2 linked regions of the Arabidopsis thaliana genome follow. The protein of the gene in region 2 interacts with the protein of the main gene of each other region in a pairwise test. Each region holds a gene or a part of one and is shown on either strand. Other genes may lie near its edges. The genes, in order: PHOT2 and AT5G19150.

Evidence for each region.
Region 1: the proteins of AT5G19150 (region 2) and PHOT2 interact in a two-hybrid assay, tested with the Arabidopsis thaliana proteins (one large-scale study listed by BioGRID).

What each region holds. Positions count from the first base shown.
Region 1 is NC_003076.8:23,522,164-23,526,936, reverse strand, and holds the start of PHOT2 (phototropin 2), read right to left. Parts: upstream 3,113-4,773; 5' UTR 2,844-3,112; intron 2,808-2,843; exon of another isoform or gene 2,727-2,807; 5' UTR 2,392-2,726; exon of another isoform or gene 2,215-2,391; 5' UTR 2,167-2,214; coding exon 1,658-2,166; intron 1,535-1,657; coding exon 1,352-1,534; intron 1,271-1,351; coding exon 1,179-1,270; intron 1,053-1,178; coding exon 845-1,052; intron 443-844; coding exon 226-442; intron 64-225; coding exon 1-63. Other genes in the region: ROS3 (RNA-binding (RRM/RBD/RNP motifs) family protein), read left to right, coding at 3,171-3,374, 3,509-3,688, 3,788-4,132, 4,230-4,773. UniProt on the Arabidopsis thaliana protein: Protein kinase that acts as a blue light photoreceptor in a signal-transduction pathway for photo-induced movements.
Region 2 is NC_003076.8:6,422,603-6,430,431, forward strand, and holds AT5G19150 (pfkB-like carbohydrate kinase family protein), read right to left. Parts: upstream 5,853-7,829; 5' UTR 5,801-5,852; coding exon 5,581-5,800; intron 5,451-5,580; coding exon 5,374-5,450; intron 5,291-5,373; coding exon 5,181-5,290; intron 5,086-5,180; coding exon 4,962-5,085; intron 4,865-4,961; coding exon 4,802-4,864; intron 4,705-4,801; coding exon 4,541-4,704; intron 4,406-4,540; coding exon 4,344-4,405; intron 4,265-4,343; coding exon 4,198-4,264; intron 4,086-4,197; coding exon 4,035-4,085; intron 3,931-4,034; coding exon 3,799-3,930; intron 3,706-3,798; coding exon 3,678-3,705; 3' UTR 3,603-3,677; exon of another isoform or gene 3,184-3,602; coding exon of another isoform or gene 3,154-3,183; intron 3,060-3,153; coding exon of another isoform or gene 2,950-3,059; intron 2,862-2,949; coding exon of another isoform or gene 2,741-2,861; intron 2,649-2,740; coding exon of another isoform or gene 2,408-2,648; intron 2,272-2,407; coding exon of another isoform or gene 2,177-2,271; intron 999-2,176; coding exon of another isoform or gene 796-998; exon of another isoform or gene 715-795; 3' UTR 703-714; downstream 1-702. Other genes in the region: AILP1 (aluminum induced protein with YGL and LRDR motifs), read left to right, coding at 796-998, 2,408-2,648, 2,741-2,861, 2,950-3,059, 3,154-3,183; AT5G19151 (uncharacterized protein), read left to right, coding at 5,970-6,132, 6,884-6,945. UniProt on the Arabidopsis thaliana protein: Catalyzes the dehydration of the S-form of NAD(P)HX at the expense of ATP, which is converted to ADP.

The sequences.
Region 1 (4,773 bases), about 17 Mb from region 2:
TCTCCCCAATATTTCCTCGCGTGAATACTCTGTCAATTCAAGAAAGCTGTCTGATGCAAAGATCTGCAAATAAAACGATTTCCATTATCAATTCAAGATTATATGCTTACAAACATAGTAGAACACTTGAGTAAGAACAATCAATATATGAAATATACTCTACAATTGATACATTAAGGTTCGAGAAAAAAACGTTCATCTCAATTTTAGACAGAAAAAACATACAATGGGATTATCAGGGAGACGAGGATCACTGATGACGAAATTCTTCTCTATGCGCTCAAGAGTGGTAGCTAGATCAATCCCTTGGCGTATATCCCTTTCTCTATCCGATAGGTCCCAACTGTCCCTCTGCCCTATTACTTCTGTGCTCAACATCAATTCTTCGGGTTCCATACGTAAAAGATCTTCATGCCTGTTATTCGAGCTTTTGAGCTTTGACCTGCACATTACACGAAGCTAGATCAGAAATCCTTGAGTGTATATGTATACATATATATACACAGCTTCAGAATTCACTACCCAATCCATGTCAGAGGATACATTCTAAGGCCCAGCACAAAGTTACAAAAGTACACGAGAAATAAGAAACAGAACAATAGTAGGAGATTGCAACTGCATCTTCGTATTCGAATGGAAATTATCTATGAGTTAAATATTGACTAACACAACAACTAGATTGAGATTGTGTAGTATATATTTTACCACTATTTGGCAATGATAATAGCAAGTTGTTTCTGCAAAACTTTGGCACTGCCATCACACTTTTTGGGCAATATATATGCCTTATTTTATGTTCAGGAAGACTACTGTAATCTGGTGGTTAGTGGTTACGAAGACTCACCCCGTTGGAGTAGAAACACGTCCAGGTGTCCTGAAAGACTTTGAAGCCTCATCTGACTGTCTTGTTTGTCTACCAGGTGTAGGTGTAGTAGAACTATCAGGCTTTACCATAGTGTCATTGCTCACGGATTCCTGAACTTGAGACTTACGATGTCTTATAGTTTGCACAACCTCTGTGATGGAATCCAAAGCTTTCTCCTTCTGGCGAGCTGATATCATCATCAAAACCATTACATGTTAAAGATTGTGGATCAGCACTCTTTGCTAAATTATATCATTGTTTTTGGCTAAAAAAAACTTGTTGAATTAACGAAGAGATGCAAAAAAACAGATACCATCATATCGAATCAAGGATTTGGAGAGTCCATTAGGCCTCAATGCTTTATCATTTACCCCTTCTGTGTATTTGCTAACTTCAACCTGCATCCTGCAGATGGAAATGTGAAAATGATTGATCGAGGGACAGTCGATTAATTAGGGAAAAACAGGGAGGAATTAAGGGACGTACCCAATGAACTTGATGGTATTGCCCTGGTCGTCCTTGATAGGAGTGACTGTGAGAAGATTCCAGAAGGGAGTTCCGTCCTTTTTGTAGTTTAACAGCCTTCCACAGTAACTTTTTCCATTCTTGACACAATCTCTGATTTTGGCAACCTCATTCTTGTCGGTGTCTGGCCCTTGCAGAAACCGGCTGGCGTTTTACCCACAAAGATTAAGAGCATTTCAGAGTAAGTTGGCATGGGTTTCAAAAGCAATATTATTCTAACTAATAACTGGGAATGAAACTAGAAGCAAGATACGAGATGAGCAGTACCAGTTTCTTCCAACAATTTCCTTGGAAGAATAACCAGTCATGGTAAAGAATCCACTGCTGGCATAGACTATGGGACAGTGAGGCTGTGTAGCGTCAGAGACAACAAAAGTCTGCTGCAACGTGGATAGAGCAGTTTTGAGCTCCTGGGATACTCTAGGGAAGGCCCCTGATTCAGAAGATGTAGATTCTTCGGATGACCTCCTAGACATGTTCTTGCTTCGTTCCACTTCACTGGACAGCTTGAAACTAATGCCATCGTCTCCCGAATCCGGCTTAACAGCTGACAATCCCCATTCAGCGGTTCTTTCTGTAATCTTAGCGGAATCTTGAAACTCCATCCACTTACTACTACTACCTTTGTTGTTGCCATCAAGAGGAGGCTTTGAAGAAGAAGAAGTTGATCCATGTGTCTCTTTTCCACTCGAAGGGTTGAAAATCTCAAGAGATCTACGTTCACTTAATGACTCCGCATCATTCAAAGGAGATGGAGGGGCTCTTGGCCTCTCCATAACGTTTCTTTATTCTCTTTCTTATGGCGAAACAGAGTAATGAATAGTCTGCAAATCAAAACCAGACACCACATAGACAAGTTAGATAGAAAGAAGAGGCAGACACAACTGTAGGTTCGAGAAACAAAGTAATAAATGCCATTAAAAGTCTTTAGAAGCAAATCAACAAAACACGTTAAAGAAGGTGAAGTAGATAAAATAAATGAAAAATATATATATACCAACCAGAGTAGCTTTATCAGCTGCAACTCATGGAAATATAGTACACAGTCTTTAAAAGGAGCAAAGACGATGAGAAAGATAGAGAGATAGACCAATTAAAAAACACAACTGTACTGTTTCCAAAACCCAGTTATATTATTATTTGAGTTATTTTAAAAAGACAATCATGTTTCTGAGGCTGCAAATGAGCGATGCGGAAGCCTGGGAGGATAGACATCGCTATCAATAATCAAACTCACATGGACCCTTTTTCACCCTCAAGGTCAAGGACCACACAACTCTGTTTCCTCTTAATACGTGCACTCTTGTTCATCATTCCCTCTTCTTTCACAAATTTTCTTCATAATCAAACGAATTTATTACACCCCTCACATCAATTTTTCCAGTACAATAATTCAGACATGTTTCAATGTAAAATGAATAAACAATAAATAGATAAAACCCAGTAAACTTACGATTGTAGTAGAACAGAACATGCGCCATGATTTGATTAGACGAAAAATGAACACGTTTAAGAAAATGACTGTGGCTTCTTCTCTCCCAGATGCTTTCGCAGACGACGAATCCACAATTTGTTTCTTCTTTCACTGTCTGTTTCAAATAATGTCGATGAAATTAAAGAGAAGGGACCCCTAAAAACTTGTTAGGCCTTATTATTTTCCCGCTAAAAGCCCATTAAGTCCTAGTGGGTCTTCTCTAATGGGCCTTATTAGTTAAGATTAAGAAGTAAGGAAAGTGAGGGAGAGGCGAGGGAAAACTGAATCCAACTGAAGCAAGCAGCAATGGAGGAAAAAAGCAGCGGCGGCGGCGTTAGGCTTCACGTCGGCGGATTAGGAGAAAGCGTCGGGAGAGATGATCTTCTCAAGATATTCTCTCCGATGGGTACCGTCGATGCCGTCGAATTCGTCAGGACCAAAGGTCGTTCCTTTGCCTACATCGATTTCTCTCCATCTTCCACCAATTCACTCACCAAGCTCTTCTCTACAGTGAGTGAATTCGATCTCTCTCTCTCTCTCTCTCTCTCTCTCTCTCTCTCTCTCTCTCTCTCTCTCTCTCTCTCTCTCTCTCTCTCTCTCTCTCCTTACTCTTGTTATTCTTAACCCTAATTCGATTTTGGCAGTATAATGGATGTGTCTGGAAAGGAGGGAGGCTGAGACTGGAGAAAGCAAAAGAGCATTATCTAGCTCGCTTAAAGCGAGAGTGGGAGGCAGCGTCTTCTACCTCTGATAACACCATTAAAGCTCCCTCCGATTCACCACCTGCCACTCACCTTAACATCTTCTTTCCCAGACTCAGAAAGGTACTACTAATGCTCCTTCAAAGTTGTAACATTTATATGACATAGTTAGTACTAGGAGTAGTAAGAGATTAGGGTTTGAGCTACGTATGTGTGGTGCAGGTGAAACCTATGCCACTTAGTGGAACTGGTAAACATAAGTATAGCTTTCAGCGTGTTCCAGTGTCGTCTTCTCTTCCAAGGAGCTTTTGTGATTGTGAAGAGCACTCTAACAGCTCTCTCACTCCTCGGGAAATACATCTTCATGATCTGGAAGCGGTTAATGTGGGAAGACAAGAAGCCGAGGTGAATGTTATGAACTCGGTGATGAATAAGCTCTTTGAGAAAAACAATGTGGACCCCGAAGAAGACAATGAGATTGAAGCAGACCAAGATAACCTCATCATCAATGTGGCATCTAGTGGCAATGATATGGACTCAGCGCTGGATATGTTGTCTAGAAAACGGGTACGTAGTGCTACTTATATTTTTTCTATTATACTTAACCCAATAATGAGTCATCTACCTCATCCCTGATCTGGCTCTTTCTTTGATTGTAACTCAGAAATCAATTCTCAACAAAAAAACACCAAGTGAAGAAGGATATAGTGAAGGACGAAAAGGGAACCTTACTCATCCAAGCAAGAATAGGCAAACAATCAGCCTAGAGGAAACTGGAAGACAGGAATCTTCACAGGCCATACGTGGAAAGAAGAAGCCTTCTGAAGTGGTACCAGATAAATCATCGGATGAACCGAGCAGAACAAAAGATCTTGAGCAGTCAATCGACAATATTTCCTGGTCCCAAAAGTCTTCCTGGAAATCACTTATGGCAAATGGGAACAGCAATGATTTTAGTGTATCCAGTTTCTTGCCAGGTGTTGGCTCCAGTAAAGCAGTACAACCTGCACCACGCAACACTGATCTTGCTGGGCTTCCTAGCCGAGAAAATTTGAAGAAGAAGACGAAAAGAAAGCGTGTAACGTCTACAATCATGGCAGAGGATTTACCTGTATCAGATGACATAAAGAGGGATGATAGTGACACAATGGCAGATGACATAGAGAGGGATGATAGTGATGCTGTGGAATATTACACAGCTTGTGAAT
Region 2 (7,829 bases):
TATAAAAACTATTTATTTATTTGTATTTTTAAAAGCAAAATTTATAAAAAAATAGTTTAAAATATGCTTATTGACCTCCATAAAAATTATTTTGAAATAGATTTTAGTCATTAGTTAAAATTGATCCCAATAAAATAATGACTAGCTCGGCCACTGCAAACAATATTACAATAGGGCGAAGTAATTGGTTAAAAAGTAAATACAATAAGTTGTAGAGTGTTAATAAACTAAAGTTGATGTTATTCTTTCTTTTTCATTTTTACGAAAAGTGGATGTTACCTTAAAAATGGTTACGTTAAATTTCAAATATAAATACATTTTAGGATTCGGTTTAAATAATTATAATTAGAATAATTTTTCAAATAAAACATTTTGATTTTTGAGAATTATTAAAAAGGAGGATGGATAAGACAAGAGACCACAAATGGCAAGATTGGTCCCACAATGTTAGAATCTAACGCTCCAGAATGATTCCATCTCTTCCGTGTGAGACCCACGTATTTGTGCTGCGTCACTGCCCATACGATGACGTATCGACGTTAATTTCAGTGTAATAAGAAGAAGAATCAAGAGAGAAGAAGATTCACAAAGACGAAATGACGTAAATACCCTCCATATCATCTCCTTCCCTTCCTATATTTAAACACCATCATACATCTCTCTCTCCTTTGTCTCGTCTTCCATGTCCGATATATCGTTACCAGAGAAAGAGAGCTCAGAGATTTAGTTAGCTTAATTTTTCTTTTCGTTTTGAAATTAAGGAAGTGATTGTTATCACCGGAGGAGAGAGAGAAAATGTTGGGAATTTTCAGTGGAGCTATAGTATCGCCGCCGGAAGAGTTAGTGGCTGCCGGAAGCAGAACTCCGTCGCCGAAAACAACCGGATCAACTTTAGTAAACCGGTTCGTCGAGAAAAATCCATCCGCTGTTTCTGTACAAGTCGGCGACTATGTTCAGCTTGCTTACAGCCATCACAACGAGAGTCCTCTCCGGCCTAGGTAAGTCTCGCCGGCGATTTTTCTTATGTTCATATCTATTAAAACTTGGCCTTTTACGATGGTCCCAAAGTTTCTACCGTCGGTTCGCTATGATCGGACGGTGATGAGATCATCGTCGAGCCTTTAAATTTCGCTGACAAATAAAAGTCAATTGCATATTTGCATGTATGGACCATATTTCATTTGATTTCGTCCGATTTTCTTATCTAATTTGTTTTAAGAAGATAGGGTATTAGTGAAAATTATCTAATTAGATACTAAATTTTGTAGATAATTTTTCTACTAGATTCCGAATTACATAATTGTGGTATTCTTTTCTTCAAAGCACTCCACTTAACTTAGGGTGATGTATGTTTGTGTTATGGTGTGTGGACCCAAACAATAATTTATAGAGTAAGTCCGAATAAAATTTTCTCAAATCATATATATCTTTTTAGAAATATGCATATACAAGGTACATCATAGGTAGCTTTATTGAAATGTACCGATCCAAATTTGTATGGATAATTCTTATTGGAAATTAAAAATGATAAATATTTATCCAAGTAAAGTTAGCTCATTGGTTAAAAAGGATTTCTTTCAATCTTCATGGAAACAAGATTTGAGTGAGATGATGTGAATAAACTAGAGATAATTTACATTAATTGTTACCTAGCAAACTTTGGACTGAAGATCCAAAATTTCTTTGATACCTCAAAATATAAATTTAGTAGTTGACTCTGTCGGTGACGGTGGTGGCACAAGGACACGTCTCAGAAGTTGTGTTAGTCACCAAAAGATTCACAAGCCTCTCATGACTCATTACTGAATTGGTCATGTACTTATGTCACTTAGAATCCGATCACAAAGAAAATATTAGCATAAGAATAATCAATATTAAAATTATACAGTCAAATTTATAAAATATAACCACAACCAATCAAACACCAAGATTCCGTATGTTGGCCATATTAAGTCCCAACCAACATTTTTTAAAACATAACTTCAACAATCACAACAATGACCGATCACTCAATCAAACAATAAATCGTGGCTAAATATTACATTTACAAATTTCTATATGGTTACAACTATAGGGACTGTATGTATTTTGGTTTTTGGATATGACCAAACTACAAAGACAACTTTGGTTGGTCCACCAAACCCTGCAATAAAATCCCACGACCATTAATAGCCTTATGCACAACACTCTATCTTTAGCTTTTACCCATATCAAGCATACCAATACATTCATAATTGCATGTCTATTTAAAGATTTGCTGCTGACTGATCGGTCTGACTATTCGCATTTATAACTTCAGTCAATTATTTGCAATACTATTCTCTATATTTTGCTCAAGTTCAGTTAATTTGGACTTTGTTGATATACATATAGGCTTGTCTTAAGATGTTTTTCTGAAATGATACAGATCATTTGGAGCTAAGGATGAAATATTCTGCTTGTTCCAAGGCTCACTTGACAACCTAGGAAGCTTGAAACAGCAGTACGGGCTTGCAAAAAACGCAAACGAGGTTCTCTTGGTCATCGAGGCTTATAAGACTCTCCGTGACAGAGCTCCTTACCCGGCTAACCACGTTGTTGCTCACCTAAGTGGCGATTTCGCCTTTGTGGTCTTTGATAAATCAACCTCCACTCTGTTTGTAGCCTCTGTAAGTTCTTTTAACCCCCTGATAAACACTTTTTAAACTGTGAAGTAGATTGAATCTAATGGTAACAAAAAACGGTGTTTGATTTGCTGCAGGACCAAGTTGGCAAGGTTCCATTGTATTGGGGAATAACAGCTGATGGCTATGTGGCATTTGCTGATGATGTTGACTTACTAAAAGGTGCTTGTGGCAAGTCTCTTGCGTCTTTCCCTCAAGGTTCGTTTTTCAGTTTTGTTTGTTCACTCCTAAATTCAAGATTTTTGGGGCATCACCCGCTCAATGGTTTTGTATGCGTGTTTTGCAGGCTGTTATTACTCGACGGCATTAGGTGGGCTTAGGAGCTTCGAGAACCCTAAGAACAAGATCACTGCAGTTCCTGCTAATGAGGGAGAAATTTGGGGAGCTACCTTCAAGGTGATTGATTCTTCAAAACTAAATCATATTTTAGTATTTTTGTTTAGCAACATCTAAAAAGCTTATATAACACAAACTTTGGTGGTGGGAACAGGTGGAAGGAGCAACAGTTCTTGCAGATTGAAAATGAAAGAGAAACACAAAAGAAGTTTCATGTCTCTTAAAGCTCTCGAACTGTAACAGCACAAACAAAAAAAAATATGTAGGAAAAACAAAAAGCTGTTCTATGAGTACTTGAAGCTATCAATGGTTGGTGATAATGTGTGTAGTGTTGTATCTCTCTTATGTCTTATGCTTCTTTGTACAGCACGTGTGTGTCTTCTGGTGTTATTAGTGTCTTCTTCCTAATAAGTTAATGTCTCTGAAACAAAAATCTACCTTCTCTTGATCCTTTTGCCTCTGTTTCTATAGTAAATCTCACAATGGTAATGAGGAAGAACAGGCGATATCTCTGTTTCTATCGTAATCTTTACTTGGTAATCACAGCATTCAAGTTTTATTATTCAGAAAAAACAATTGTGAGGTAAATAGACACAAGAGAACAGACACTTCTAAAGTTTCCCACAGACAATAAGATGTTGTAGAAGGCAAGACAACTCTACTTCATGTGTTCTGAGATTAAGATGCAGGGCAGATATCCTCCAAACTGTCGAAAAAAGTCGATAAAACATTATGATTGAGACGAAATGTTTTTGTGGATTCTCTAATGCAGCAGTTTCAGTAAGAAAGAAATCCATACCTCTCCCCTAAACATTCGATAATGTCGCTTGTGAGAGTTGATCTCTTATGTTTTGTAAAGGCCAGAGATGCAGCCTTTCTGAGAAGGCCAGATGCAGCTATGCATCCCAAGATAGCTGGATTCTCAGAGGGACTGAAATTTTGTTGGGTTTCAGAGATTGTCAAAACCACTTTGCACAGTCAATAATTGAGTTAGAAATGAAAGTTTGCGCAGAGCCAATATAGGATGTATCTAACCTTTCAGGATCGGATTTAAGCTGTTGTGCCCATGACAAAAACACTGCAACACTATATGAAACCAAATCCATTAGGCAGACTATCAGTGGCTACAAAAGTTGAACTTTTAACCGTGGTAACCCGAGCAATCTAATGATACTGGATCAAAGAGTGGTGAGCTCACCCTCCAGAGAGAATATCGCCTTGTCCACCACAGCGCCTTGGTGAACCATATATGCTTACTGATTTTACTACAAAAATAGAGATAATCACACCTCACGGTCTCAACGTCCTCTAACGGAAAGATACAATAGCTAAAAAGTTACTCACCTGTCTCCCCATTGCTTATAAGATCAGATTTCCCTTTCCTGAGAATCGTGACACCACCAATCCTGAATGACACAGACGAATAACATTATTATCACCAGAGTTTTTGGTTCCAAATCACCAGATGAGCCTGGTGATGTGTGTGTGAGATACTTCCATAGTGCCCTCTAGATGACCTATGAAGTCATTTTTGTACTTACTGTTTGGCCAAAGAACGTAACTGATCTTCAGCATTTTGTTCATCTACTTCACAATTCAGTACTTTTTGAACCAGGCGCTTATACTCATTCACATTTGGGGTTAAGACAGCAAGCGGATAGCTGTGGACAAGATCAATGGAATTTGTTACAAGAAACAGCCCGTCCTGCGGAATCGCCATAGTCAGAAGATTATACAATCAAAACTTGGAAAAAGACAAGAGCCTATCAAATCCTTACTTAATGCTATGTATCATTGCTTACCCCATCTATAACAAAAGGAACATTGGACTTTTTGGCAAGAAGCATGATAATACTCACACATTCCTGGAAATACAGAGTCACATAACTCGTAAGTCCACCACCAAAGTAATGACAAATCAAATTCTGTAATGTGATTAAGCAAGGGTAGATGAATCTTTACCAGGAGAAATGGATCTCTTCCCAAACCAGGACCAATAACAAGACAATCAAATCTTTCCATCCATTTACCGACTTCTCCAAGCACTTTATCTTGAACTTCTCTTTTATCTTCTTCACTGAGTTGACTATATACAGATATGAAACCGGGTATTGTAATAAAAACATACGGAACAAAACCACATAGTTAGAAGTAGCACACACTGTGGAATGGAGTATTCACCTGATGCTATATGATTCCTCAAGAACAGGGTGAACTATAAGCTCAGGACTATAGCTCTTTATAACAGGAGCTGCATCTTTCGTGCAGAATACATGAGACAAATCAGCACCCTACAGTTTTACAGATATGAAACCACTCTTCACTTTTATGTAGACAGAAGCAGTGATGGCTAATAGAAAACGAAACTACTAACGATTTTCAAAGCTGAAATGGCAGCGAAGTATGGAGCTCCTGTGTATTCACGACATCCTCCAATCACAGCTATCTTCCCTGACACAAGATCAATTCCAACACATGAGCTAAAACATCAAAGTAACCTGAAAAAACTCAAACTTTAAAATCCTAAAGTTTCGAATTTGATAAATTTCTGATGACACAATTGAATAGAGCAAGCACTAACCAGCTTGGCCTTTGTGTCGTTTGAGATCGAGCGATGGCGTCACGGTTCTAAGAACACTCTCAGCGTCGGCCTCTGATGTGGAACTCATTGCTCTGATGATTGGTGACCCACAAAGCGTTCGTACCAAGAACTCTTGCCTTCTGAGCACACTTGAAGAAGAAGAAGGTGAATGAGAAGTCAATCGTACCAAGCCAGAGATGATACTGGGCTTCACCAACATCAGATTCTCTCGTTGAGGGCCGAGAAAGCCACCGCTTCCGATACAGCACCGAGAAGTGAACTCTCTGTTTGGTTAAGAAGGTTTCGTTTTTATTTAATTATTTTATAGGAAAGAGGAAAAAAAAAGCAAACTTTTTCAGAGTCGGAGGTTTCAGACAGAGAGGAAGAAGATGAAGCGGACGGTGATGGACAACGCGATTCGATCATCGGTGGTGGTGTTGGGATCATTGGCCTTTGGTTACTTGTCACTGGAGCTTGGTTACAAGCCTTTCCTTGAAAAGGCTGAACAATACGAAAGATCTCTTCAGTCTTCTCAACAACATCAACAACAAGGTCTTGTGTTATCTCTCTCTCTCTCAATCGCTTGCTCTTAATTGTTCTGCTTCTGTTTCATTTCAGAAGAGATAGATTTATGCTGTGAGCGATTGATGGATTATCTATTTGACTTTGGAAGTTACCAATGTGTCTCGACCAATATCATGATGCGTTAGAGATTTTTGTGAAGATGCTAATCTGGTTTTACCGTTTTAGTAATTCAAAACCTGTCTTTGTTCGGATTCAAGTTAAAGTTTTCGAGAATTGGCACTAGTACAATAGAAAGTTTCAATCTTTTTACTCTACAGTCCTGAGATCTTGCTTCAGGTTCCGATTGGTTACAATGTATGATTGCAGAAATAAATTTATGGAGTGGATTGGTAGGAATCATTTATGGAGAAAAATCGCATAATGCTAGAACATAAATTGTGATTCACGTAAATGTGTGATTAGTGAAAACATGAGTTGCAGGGTGCTGATACGAGAAGATGATTGGCCGTTTAGAGTTTCTCTGAACTGAAAACTCTTTCTCTTTCAGTTTGTTACTAAATAGTGTGTTTTCTTGGATCAATGAGCATTGAGCCCTTTATGTTCTTAGTCATTGCATAATCCATGATAGAACTTTGAGTGTTCGCTATGTTTTTCTTACTCTCTATCTTGTGGATGAACCCTTATGTTCTTAGTCGTTGCGGAATCCATAGTCTTAAAAGTTCTAACTTACAGAACTTTGAGTGTTTATTAATGTTGTTCTTACTATCTGATCTTGTAGATGAACAAGAAGAAGCGAGGTGGGACAATAGCAATGTCGAGGGGTGGGAGGAGAAAAGGTAGTCTTATAATCGGTTTCAATACAGACATATCAAAGTGTGTAAGGAAGAAGAACCTTATCAAAATTTTCTTCTTAATCAACCGTAAGTTCAATCTGTTAACTATCAACCATGGCCTGTTTTTATCAATCACTCAAAATCATATCTCAGTATAGTACCGATTGCCTTAATCAGTTTGAAGTTACAAAACACTAGTGTTTAAGAACCATCCTTTATAAACAACCTAAAACAATCTCTGGTCTGTAAGAAAATGGCTTCACTGATGCAAACCTTGAACAATCGTGAGCTCCATTACCAGATGCAAATCACAAACAAAGGCCATTGTGACTGCTCTCTCAATCAAAGTTCATTGGCTGAAGTTGAACTGTGGCTGGAAGCACAAGAGGAAGCAACAACGTATCTGAGATCCATCCTCTCTTACACTGCTACTAGTACTTGGTTTTAGAGTCGGACCAAATCATTAAACAAATTTCTCTTGACATTATTTAAACAAAGCGTTTTAACGACCTTGGGAGTCTAATATGACAATTAAAGGTACTAATTTGATCTTGACCGGTACGCAACCTTTTCTCGGTTCTCACTCTCTGACTTTCATTGAATCTTGTCCCTAGACAAATAACATGTGATGTGTTCATGCTAATCTCCGCCATGGACGGCTTTAAGTCGGACTCTCGTCCTTCATTAATCTAATTACTCTTCTTTACTCATTAGAATATTCCTCCATCTAATTACTCATCAGTCACATATACACATTTTTGGACTAAAACGCTATTTTCGGTGCATGAACCAAACGCCTTAACCGTTTTAATGCGCACTAAAAAGTAACTAAAAGCTACGCCGTCTTTAGCCCCACTAATTTTGTCACGCGCCATGATCGCGCGTGTGACA